Linked DNA regions of Danio rerio. The main gene of each other region encodes a partner of the protein of the gene in region 2 in a complex. Links are inferred from orthologs where the notes say so. Each region holds a gene or a part of one and is shown on either strand. Other genes may lie near its edges.

The links.
Region 1: abi1a (region 2) and wasf2 share a complex: the UniProt entries of both Homo sapiens proteins name them as parts of the WAVE2 complex. The link is inferred for Danio rerio from reciprocal best matches to the Homo sapiens genes ABI1 and WASF2.

What each region holds. Positions count from the first base shown.
Region 1 is NC_133194.1:46,366,732-46,370,562, reverse strand, and holds part of wasf2 (actin-binding protein WASF2), read right to left. Parts: intron 3,403-3,831; coding exon 3,285-3,402; intron 3,188-3,284; coding exon 3,063-3,187; intron 784-3,062; coding exon 616-783; intron 1-615. UniProt on the Homo sapiens protein: Downstream effector molecule involved in the transmission of signals from tyrosine kinase receptors and small GTPases to the actin cytoskeleton. Promotes formation of actin filaments. Part of the WAVE complex that regulates lamellipodia formation.
Region 2 is NC_133199.1:6,125,201-6,129,579, reverse strand, and holds the start of abi1a (abl interactor 1a), read right to left. Parts: upstream 2,846-4,379; 5' UTR 2,741-2,845; coding exon 2,624-2,740; intron 1-2,623. UniProt on the Homo sapiens protein: May act in negative regulation of cell growth and transformation by interacting with nonreceptor tyrosine kinases ABL1 and/or ABL2. May play a role in regulation of EGF-induced Erk pathway activation. Involved in cytoskeletal reorganization and EGFR signaling.

The DNA.
Region 1 (3,831 bases), on a different chromosome or scaffold from region 2:
CTAATAATTTTGACCTTAAAATGTTTTTTTGAAAAATAAAAACTTCTTTTATTTAAGCTGAAATAAAACAAATAAGACTTTCTCCAGAAGAAAAAATATTATCAGACATACTGTGAAAAATTCCTTGCTCTGTTAAACATCATTTAAGAAATATTTAAAGGGGGCTAATAACTCTGACTTCAACTGTGCACATGTATCTTACTGTGTATATGTTCTCACTTTATTTAGAACTTTAGGGTCAACATTTGACTAAAATAAACATTAATAAAATATGAAACACTTTCCAAAAACGAATGATTACAGGTCCAATATTACATTAAATAATAATAAATGCTAAATAAAATGCATAATGTAAACATTTTACTTTCAAGAAAGCAACTTTCTCATGATGCTGTTAATCATGTTTCTGTCTGCATCCCCATAATGGCGTGTAATATTGCGCTCTTCTAAATTATGAAAAATTATTAACATAAACATATATTTTGTAACACCTGGAAATAAATGATAGAGCAAAATATGAAACAATTGACTTATTTTATCCATACGAGTTATATCGTCATATTGCACAGCCCTACTCAACAACAGGGAAAGCGTGAGCTATTTTAAGACACTCACTGCGTGTCTGCAGGTGGTGGAGGTGGGAAATCCTCTTGCGCTGGAGGTGGGAGAGGAGAGCCGGGATCGTAGCTGTAGGAGTTAGTGCTTTGTTCCAAATAACTATCAGTGTGCATGTAGCCATCATCACCAGAGCCAATACTGCCGTTCAATGCTTCTGAAGAGTTGCTGTTAGAGAGACATTAACAATAATGTTAAATGTATATAGACATCAATGATATTGTAAAACACTTGATGAATCTGAAAGCTGAAAATGCAGAACATAAAAGGCAGGAAGGCAACAAGGCATATCTGAATCTACTGATCCACTTATCCGGTGAGATACCTTCAATTTCTATTTAATATACAGGGCTCGAAATTAACCTTTTTGCTTGGTAGCACCGGATCTCCTAACTTTAAAAATTTAGGGGCATCAGCCAAAATTTAGTTGCACCCACCAATTATAAGCACTGTTGGTCCACTTAAAAGAAAACAGCCAATAGAGTTTAGTTTTCATCACAAGGGCTTAATTTGTGCCTGAACACACCGGATCTGGAATCTCTGAAATGTGATCCGGCAGCTAGTTTTTCTGATCCCCCTCCTCAACCGCCCTTCTTCCCTGTCTGCTATTCACTTTCACTTTCTTCTGCGACTCACCAACCCTCTTCACTACACCCCTCTGCCATCCAACACACAGACACTAGAGAGCATTTGATTGGTCAAGATTTGATGAGAACCTGTGGTTCATTCTTCGTACGTGGATTACTCAGTTAGCTGGATTTGGTTAGTGACGATTTGACATGATCCAGGATCGTTTCGTTCTTCAAAGCTGATCCGAGAGTTGTTGTCATAGCAACAATTCTGCTAGGTCAAACCTGATCGGGAGCAGGTTCAATTCATATAAACAGGATTAGATCGGCTCAGTTCAAGCAAAGATAATACAGAAAGTATGTTCAGAATTCTGATATTTTCTTACAGTAGTAGTTATATACACTTGGGGAAATGGTAAATATTTTTAAGCTATATATATATATATATATATATATTAATCTGCACCCTTGAAATGAAAGTACAAAGACTGCCACCTGGTGGTGCAAAGAGAAAACTTATTGATATGAACTTTTTAGATCGCTTTAGTACAAATTGTGTATAATAAAAATGCACAATATGTGACTTTTTAAAATCAATAATACATTTATGCAGTCATAAACATGTTTTGACAGTTAATATGCCGGTGATTTGATGCTTCACAAAAGTTCCAGATGCCTTTACCAAAATCAAAATGCTTTTGTAAACAACCAGTTATTCTTTACAACGATTAAAAAACCGGCTACTAGAATAAAGAAAATCTTTTCTAAATGTGGAACTAAATACACTGATTTGCATTGAAATACATGATGAATACACTTGACACATGAAAGTGTAAAGCCTGCAGCTCACAACAAATGTGGAGTTATTGCGTGTCATATTTAACAAACCGTTTACTGCTAATTTGATGTAATTTTGCTCACATGGATAATTGAATATTAATCAGATGATGTCATTACGCTGCTGTGCCGTCAGCCAATCGCTGCATTGCTGATCAAGATTTCAAGGATCGATAGATCAGTCCTTAAAAGATCCAGGATCTGCCAAATCATCTTAGATCATTTAAGCGAGGTACGAAGAACAGACCCCTGAAGTATGAGGTGACAAAACAATGAATCATTTACAGGGCTCGAAATTAACTTTTTTACTTGGTAGCACTGGTGCTCCCAACTTTAAATATTTAGGAGCACCAGAAAAAAATTAGGAGCACCCACCAAAAATGAATGAGCACCGCTGCAAATTGTATATTATGTTACATTTTACATTAAGCAGACATTTGCGCTGAGTACAAAGTAAATGCAGCACATCGAAATTCAGTGTACTTTTCACTCTTCAGTCAGTTGCATTCCCCGCAGAGTGATTGTTAGCTAATATGAACCTATATAGAGGCAGGGAGGAGCGATTCAGCACGTTTAAAAAAAAATAATAATAAAAACAGGTCGCACTACAACCATTATCTGCAGTCGCACAAATGCTCCCAAATTTAATATGAGGTCGCATAGATTAAATTTCAGGCGCATATGCGACCAAAATGGTTGCAATTTCAAGCCCTGATTTAGCTTTACATTTTTATATCAGTTTTATATCTTCTATATATTTCCAATATTTCTATTGCATTTTTTCCAGATATTATACAAACTTACAAATGTGTATGAAAAATAGAAGTCCTATCAGCAAAGGGATGACATGAAATACATAGCAATAAAAACAAGAAATCTCAGTTTTGTATCTTCTAAACGCAAATTTTGGAGCACACTAATTTATAGATATCCTTGAACATCTAGAAAACGTTATTTTAATTTCACTGGACCTTTAAATTCAGCATCTGGCAGAAAATCATGCACCTATGCAGGAATACAGTAGGCATTTATTATAATTACCCCAAGGCATCGGTTTTGGGGACAACAAACTCCGCCCCCATTTTCTGGCGTTCCCATTCATCTTTACGGGTTTTGATCTTCCGAGGGTTCAAGTTCCTTCGGTTAACATTGTCATCTTTCTTCTTCTGCTTGCGTTAAACACAAAAATACGACAACACACAGACACGTTAAAGAAGCTGGCCTCTGGAGGATATTTTAAGGTGATGTACTTGCACGTCTCACCTTGTGTTTGCGTTTCTCTTTTATAATGTCCTTGGTATCTTGAAGCATTTTCTCTTTCCAAAGGTCAAAGAAGTAAGACGGATCAGTGTAAAACTTAAGAGCCTCCTTGCCATCCTCCCTGGAAAACATTTCCGACAAAATTTAAGTTAGGGGTAAAAAGAAAAGACACCTCTATTTTCTGTAATTAAATCATTTAACAATTTTTTGGTATGATTCATAGATAAACAAAACAAAAACAAAACAAAAAGAAAACACAAAGTCTGTCAGTAGGTGACTGCAAGTCTTAATGAGTCAATTAATTCAATTGAATGATTCATTTAAAGTCAAAGCACTGACTTCATGAAAGAAACAGTGAATCCCCGACCTAAATGACTCATTCAAAAACATTAATTCAGAAATTAAAAACCTCAGTGTTGCTTTAAAATGTTCAAATCTTTTGCTCCGACTTGCATTAGATCGGTTTTCACTGCAAAATCATAATAATAATGATAATAACAATAACAAGACTAAATTGGTACCCAAATTGTCACAATTCACTCCTATCTGG
Region 2 (4,379 bases):
TATCAAATGTTGCGCTACCTGTCGAGCAACTTCTTCTTAAGGAATTACAACACAATTAAAGCTTGATAAACATCTCGATGGTGGGGTAAATCTCCTCTTAGGCATTTCCAACAGGTGTTTTGTGTCAAAATGACGCGTTAAACATTATGCTGTTTGACACAAATAATCGTAGAGGACAGATTTTTTTTCTCAAAAGGTTTCTTATCAGATTTAGATCAAGTGTACACTAAACAGATGATCAATAAAGTCAATATTTTCTATTGTAACTGCAAAATGAGTCTAGAAATATTGCAGTCATATGGATAAATCAGGAGTGTAAATTTACTCTTGACATTGGTGGGGACCTATGAATTATGAATTCAGATTTTTTTATTTGCTGCAAAATCCCTTTACGTTAACATTGCTATTTTATTTATTTTATTCCACTCTATATACAATACAATTCATTAAGTTTAATTAAGGGAATTAAACTTACTGTTACAAATGCTTTATAGAGTTTAATTAAGACGTTTATTTATTTTAGCCATAGCACAAACGAAACGTGTCTCATACATCAGTATGAATTAAAGTTGGTGGAGCACAAGCTTTAGTTTTTCAAACAGTAGTTTCAACCAAAATTCGACATGCTACTCTGAGAGATAAGGAGAGCTGACAGATTAAATTATAGATGAGGACATTTCAATTAGGAGACACGTCCCCTCCACCCGTGCTAATTCTACGCCCCTGAGATAAATGGTCAATAAGCCAAAATTTGCTAAATCAGAAACACATAAAAATACTTTCATTAGTACTTTAAATAATAATTCAATAAAAGAAAATATAAATATTATATATATTTTTTTAAATATTAAATAAAATAAAATAAATATATGTTTTCAGTGTGTATGTTTTTACTCATTTATAAAATAAATATTTATATTTAATGACCAATTATAAGCTAAATAAAATGAAGTATGTCAGGAAGTAAAATATATCAAATCAACTATATACGTCTGACCAAGTCAATTCTCAAGAATCAGAACAATAAAGTATAATATTTCTTGTTTCTTTTGTCATTACAATTGTGGAATAATGATAAAAAGTCATTTATATTAAAGCGATTTGAAGATTAAACTAACTGAAATGTCCTTTTGTGTAACATTCATGTCTAGATGTCTAGATGTCTAGATAGATAGATAAATAGATAGACAGACAGACAGACAGACAGACAGACAGACAGACAGACAGACAGACAGACAGACAGACAGATAGATAGATGATTGGATAGATAGATAGATAGATAGATAGATAGATAGATAGATAGATAGATAGATAGATAGATAGATAGATAGATAGATAGATAGATAGATAGATAGATAGATAGAATGTTTTAAAATTTTTAAAAATTGTATTAATAGATATTTTAATGACCAATTATAAGATAAATAAAATTAATTATGAATACTATGTAAAATCAACTATTTATATCTAAGTTTGGCCACACAAAAAAAGTTATCAAGGATCAGAACAATAAAGTGTAATATAGCTTGTTTTTTTGTCATTAGAATTATTAGATAGATAGATAGATAGATAGATAGATAGATAGATAGATAGATAGATAGATAGATAGATAGATAGATAGATAGATAGATGTTTCAAAACATAATATTTAGTATGATCACTTAATTCAATTTTATAATAATTATACAGTAAGGTAAGGTCAAAAGTTGGGAGTCCTTTTTACAGGATGCTGAATGACAACTGAATTAGTTCACCCACATTTCAACATTATTTCCTTTAAAAAGTAAGTACATTTTAAATGTTAAACACAGATTACTTGTATTTATTACACTTTGTATGTATTTTGTCGTTTGAATTGATGTGGAAAGCAAAATATTATTCAAAACCCTATCAATAAACTAATAATACGACCGCAATCAAACTTCTAAGAAATGTTTATTACTATGTTATTACATAATATCACTAAATAAATATAAGAATGCCTTTGAACAAATAAATACATTGAATAACATTGTAAAAAGTATTTAAAATCGGTGATTACCAAATACGCTCTTGAAGTATTAAGTTTTAAGTTGACCACTTAAGAGTTTAATAATCTATTAGAAAAACAACGTAACAAACAGCATTGCAGGAAGCCGACCTGATATTATTTGATAAAAGAAACAAACAAAGGTGAAATAAAACATGACTGAAGCTCAGCTTTATACGACCTCTCGTGTTCCCATTTGACACACTAGTTCAGTTTTATTATCAAGTATAAGCAAACACAATCAGTTGAAGTCCTTTCATATCTAATCTTCTCCTATCGAGGCCAAAATCTCACATCCTCCTTTCTGAAGTTTGACACAGATATGAGCAAAACTTCAAATGTCTAAGTTAAAGAGTATCCAGACACACCCTCAATGTAAACGAAACAAATCCCGAACACGATCACAAATCTGATCGTCAAACCGCTTAAACAAGTCAAGCTCTACATCGAAATATCGCCTTTGATGTCTTCAAAGAATCTCCCAAAAAGCGGCTCATCCCTGCTTTCCCGTTTTACAACCATATTTCCTGTCCGACTCCCAACAGCAGTGCTGGAGATCAGCGCGTAACAGAGAAAACGCGCGCGCGCGCTTACCTGAACATAATTATTCTCACAGTAATCCGCGACTCTCGTCAGGTTCTGGTAACTCTCCACGAGAGCTCGTTTACCGGCTGGGATTTCTTCCTCTAGTAACATCTGCAACTCTGCCATCTTACATGTCTCCGCAGAGCTTCCTACTCCTCGTCTGTGGGATTTGATTGAGAGCTCAAGCTCAGCCCTGCTGGTGATGTCGGAGTCGTTCTTTTGAACCGAGTCTTTTTGGTGAGTCAATTGAGCTGGTTCATAAATCCGGACTGAACGAGTCGAATATACGACAAAGCTGTTCTGGAGTCAGCGACTCACTGAATCACTGAATCAAAAAAAAGCACTCTTAAAGGGATAGTACAGCTAATTTTTGTAAATTTGCTAGTAAATAAATAGTTCACCCAATTCATTTACCCTCAAGCCATCCTCTATGTATATGACTCTCTTCTTTCAGGCGAAAACAGTATTTTTAAGGAAATATCGCAAAGTTACGAAGTATGCTATCCAACTTAGATGCAGAAAAGCTAGTTCATGCTTTTATGACCTCAAGATTAGATTACTGTAATGCTCTGTTCGCTGGTTGCCGAGCATCCTCTACTAATAATATGCAGTTAGTGCAAAATGCAGCTGCCAGAGTTCTTAACAGGTCTACAATATATGACAATATCATCCCAATTTTATTCTCCCTACACTGCCTGTTCAGTTCCGTATTGATTATAAAACATTGCTTCTAACCTATAAAGCTTTAAATAATCTAGCTGATGTTTATCTAACCAACCTTCTGTTCTGCTACAATCCAGCCCTCTCTTTAAGATCTCAAAACTCACTGTAAAATGACTGATGTTTTCATTACAGACACACATCGGTCCACTTCATGAGACATGCATTAACCCCTTGACAGCATATGGGTTAGTTTGGTGATGGATTGAAACCTTTTTGGAAGCTTCAAAATAAAAGCCACTATCCAACACTATTATACAGCATGGAAGAGCCAGGATAAAATTGAAAACTACTCTGAGTGTTCGTCTGGCAGAAAAAAGGAGGATTAAGGGTGAGTAAATTATGGGGTAATTTTCATTTTTGAGTGAACTAGAAGCTTAGTCCCTTTATTAATCCGGGGTCGCCACAGCGGAATTAACCGCCAACTTATCCAGCACGTTTTAACGCAGTGGATGCCCTTTCAGCTGCAGGAAACATTATAAATCGGTATAAAATATTATTTGAACATATTTAGCTTCTATTTAGTTATTACAGTTTAGTTATTACAATTTCAGAAATTATGAATAATAAAATCTCTGATTATTTAAGTAATTTTACATTTTATTCTAATTATTCTAAATTAATTCATTGAATATAGATATATGTTTTAGTTATAATTAATTATATAGTTAATTATTCTTTTTTTTTCATCTTAGTCCCTTTATTAATCTGGCGTCACCACAGCAGAATGAACTGTCAACTTATCCAGCACATGTTTTAAGCAGCGGATGCCCTTCCAGCTGCAACCCATAACTGGGAAACACCCAAATACACTCATTCACACACACACACACACTACAGTCAATTTAGCTTACCAATTCACCTATGTCTTTGGACTTTGCACCCAGAGGAAATCCATGCGAACACGGGGAGAACATGCAAATTCCACTCAGAAACGCCAACTGACCCAGCCGAGGCTCGAACCAGTGACCTTCTTGCTGTGAGGCGACAGCACTACCTACTGCTCCATTTATTATATCTATTTATTATCTTTTGCTGTTGCTTT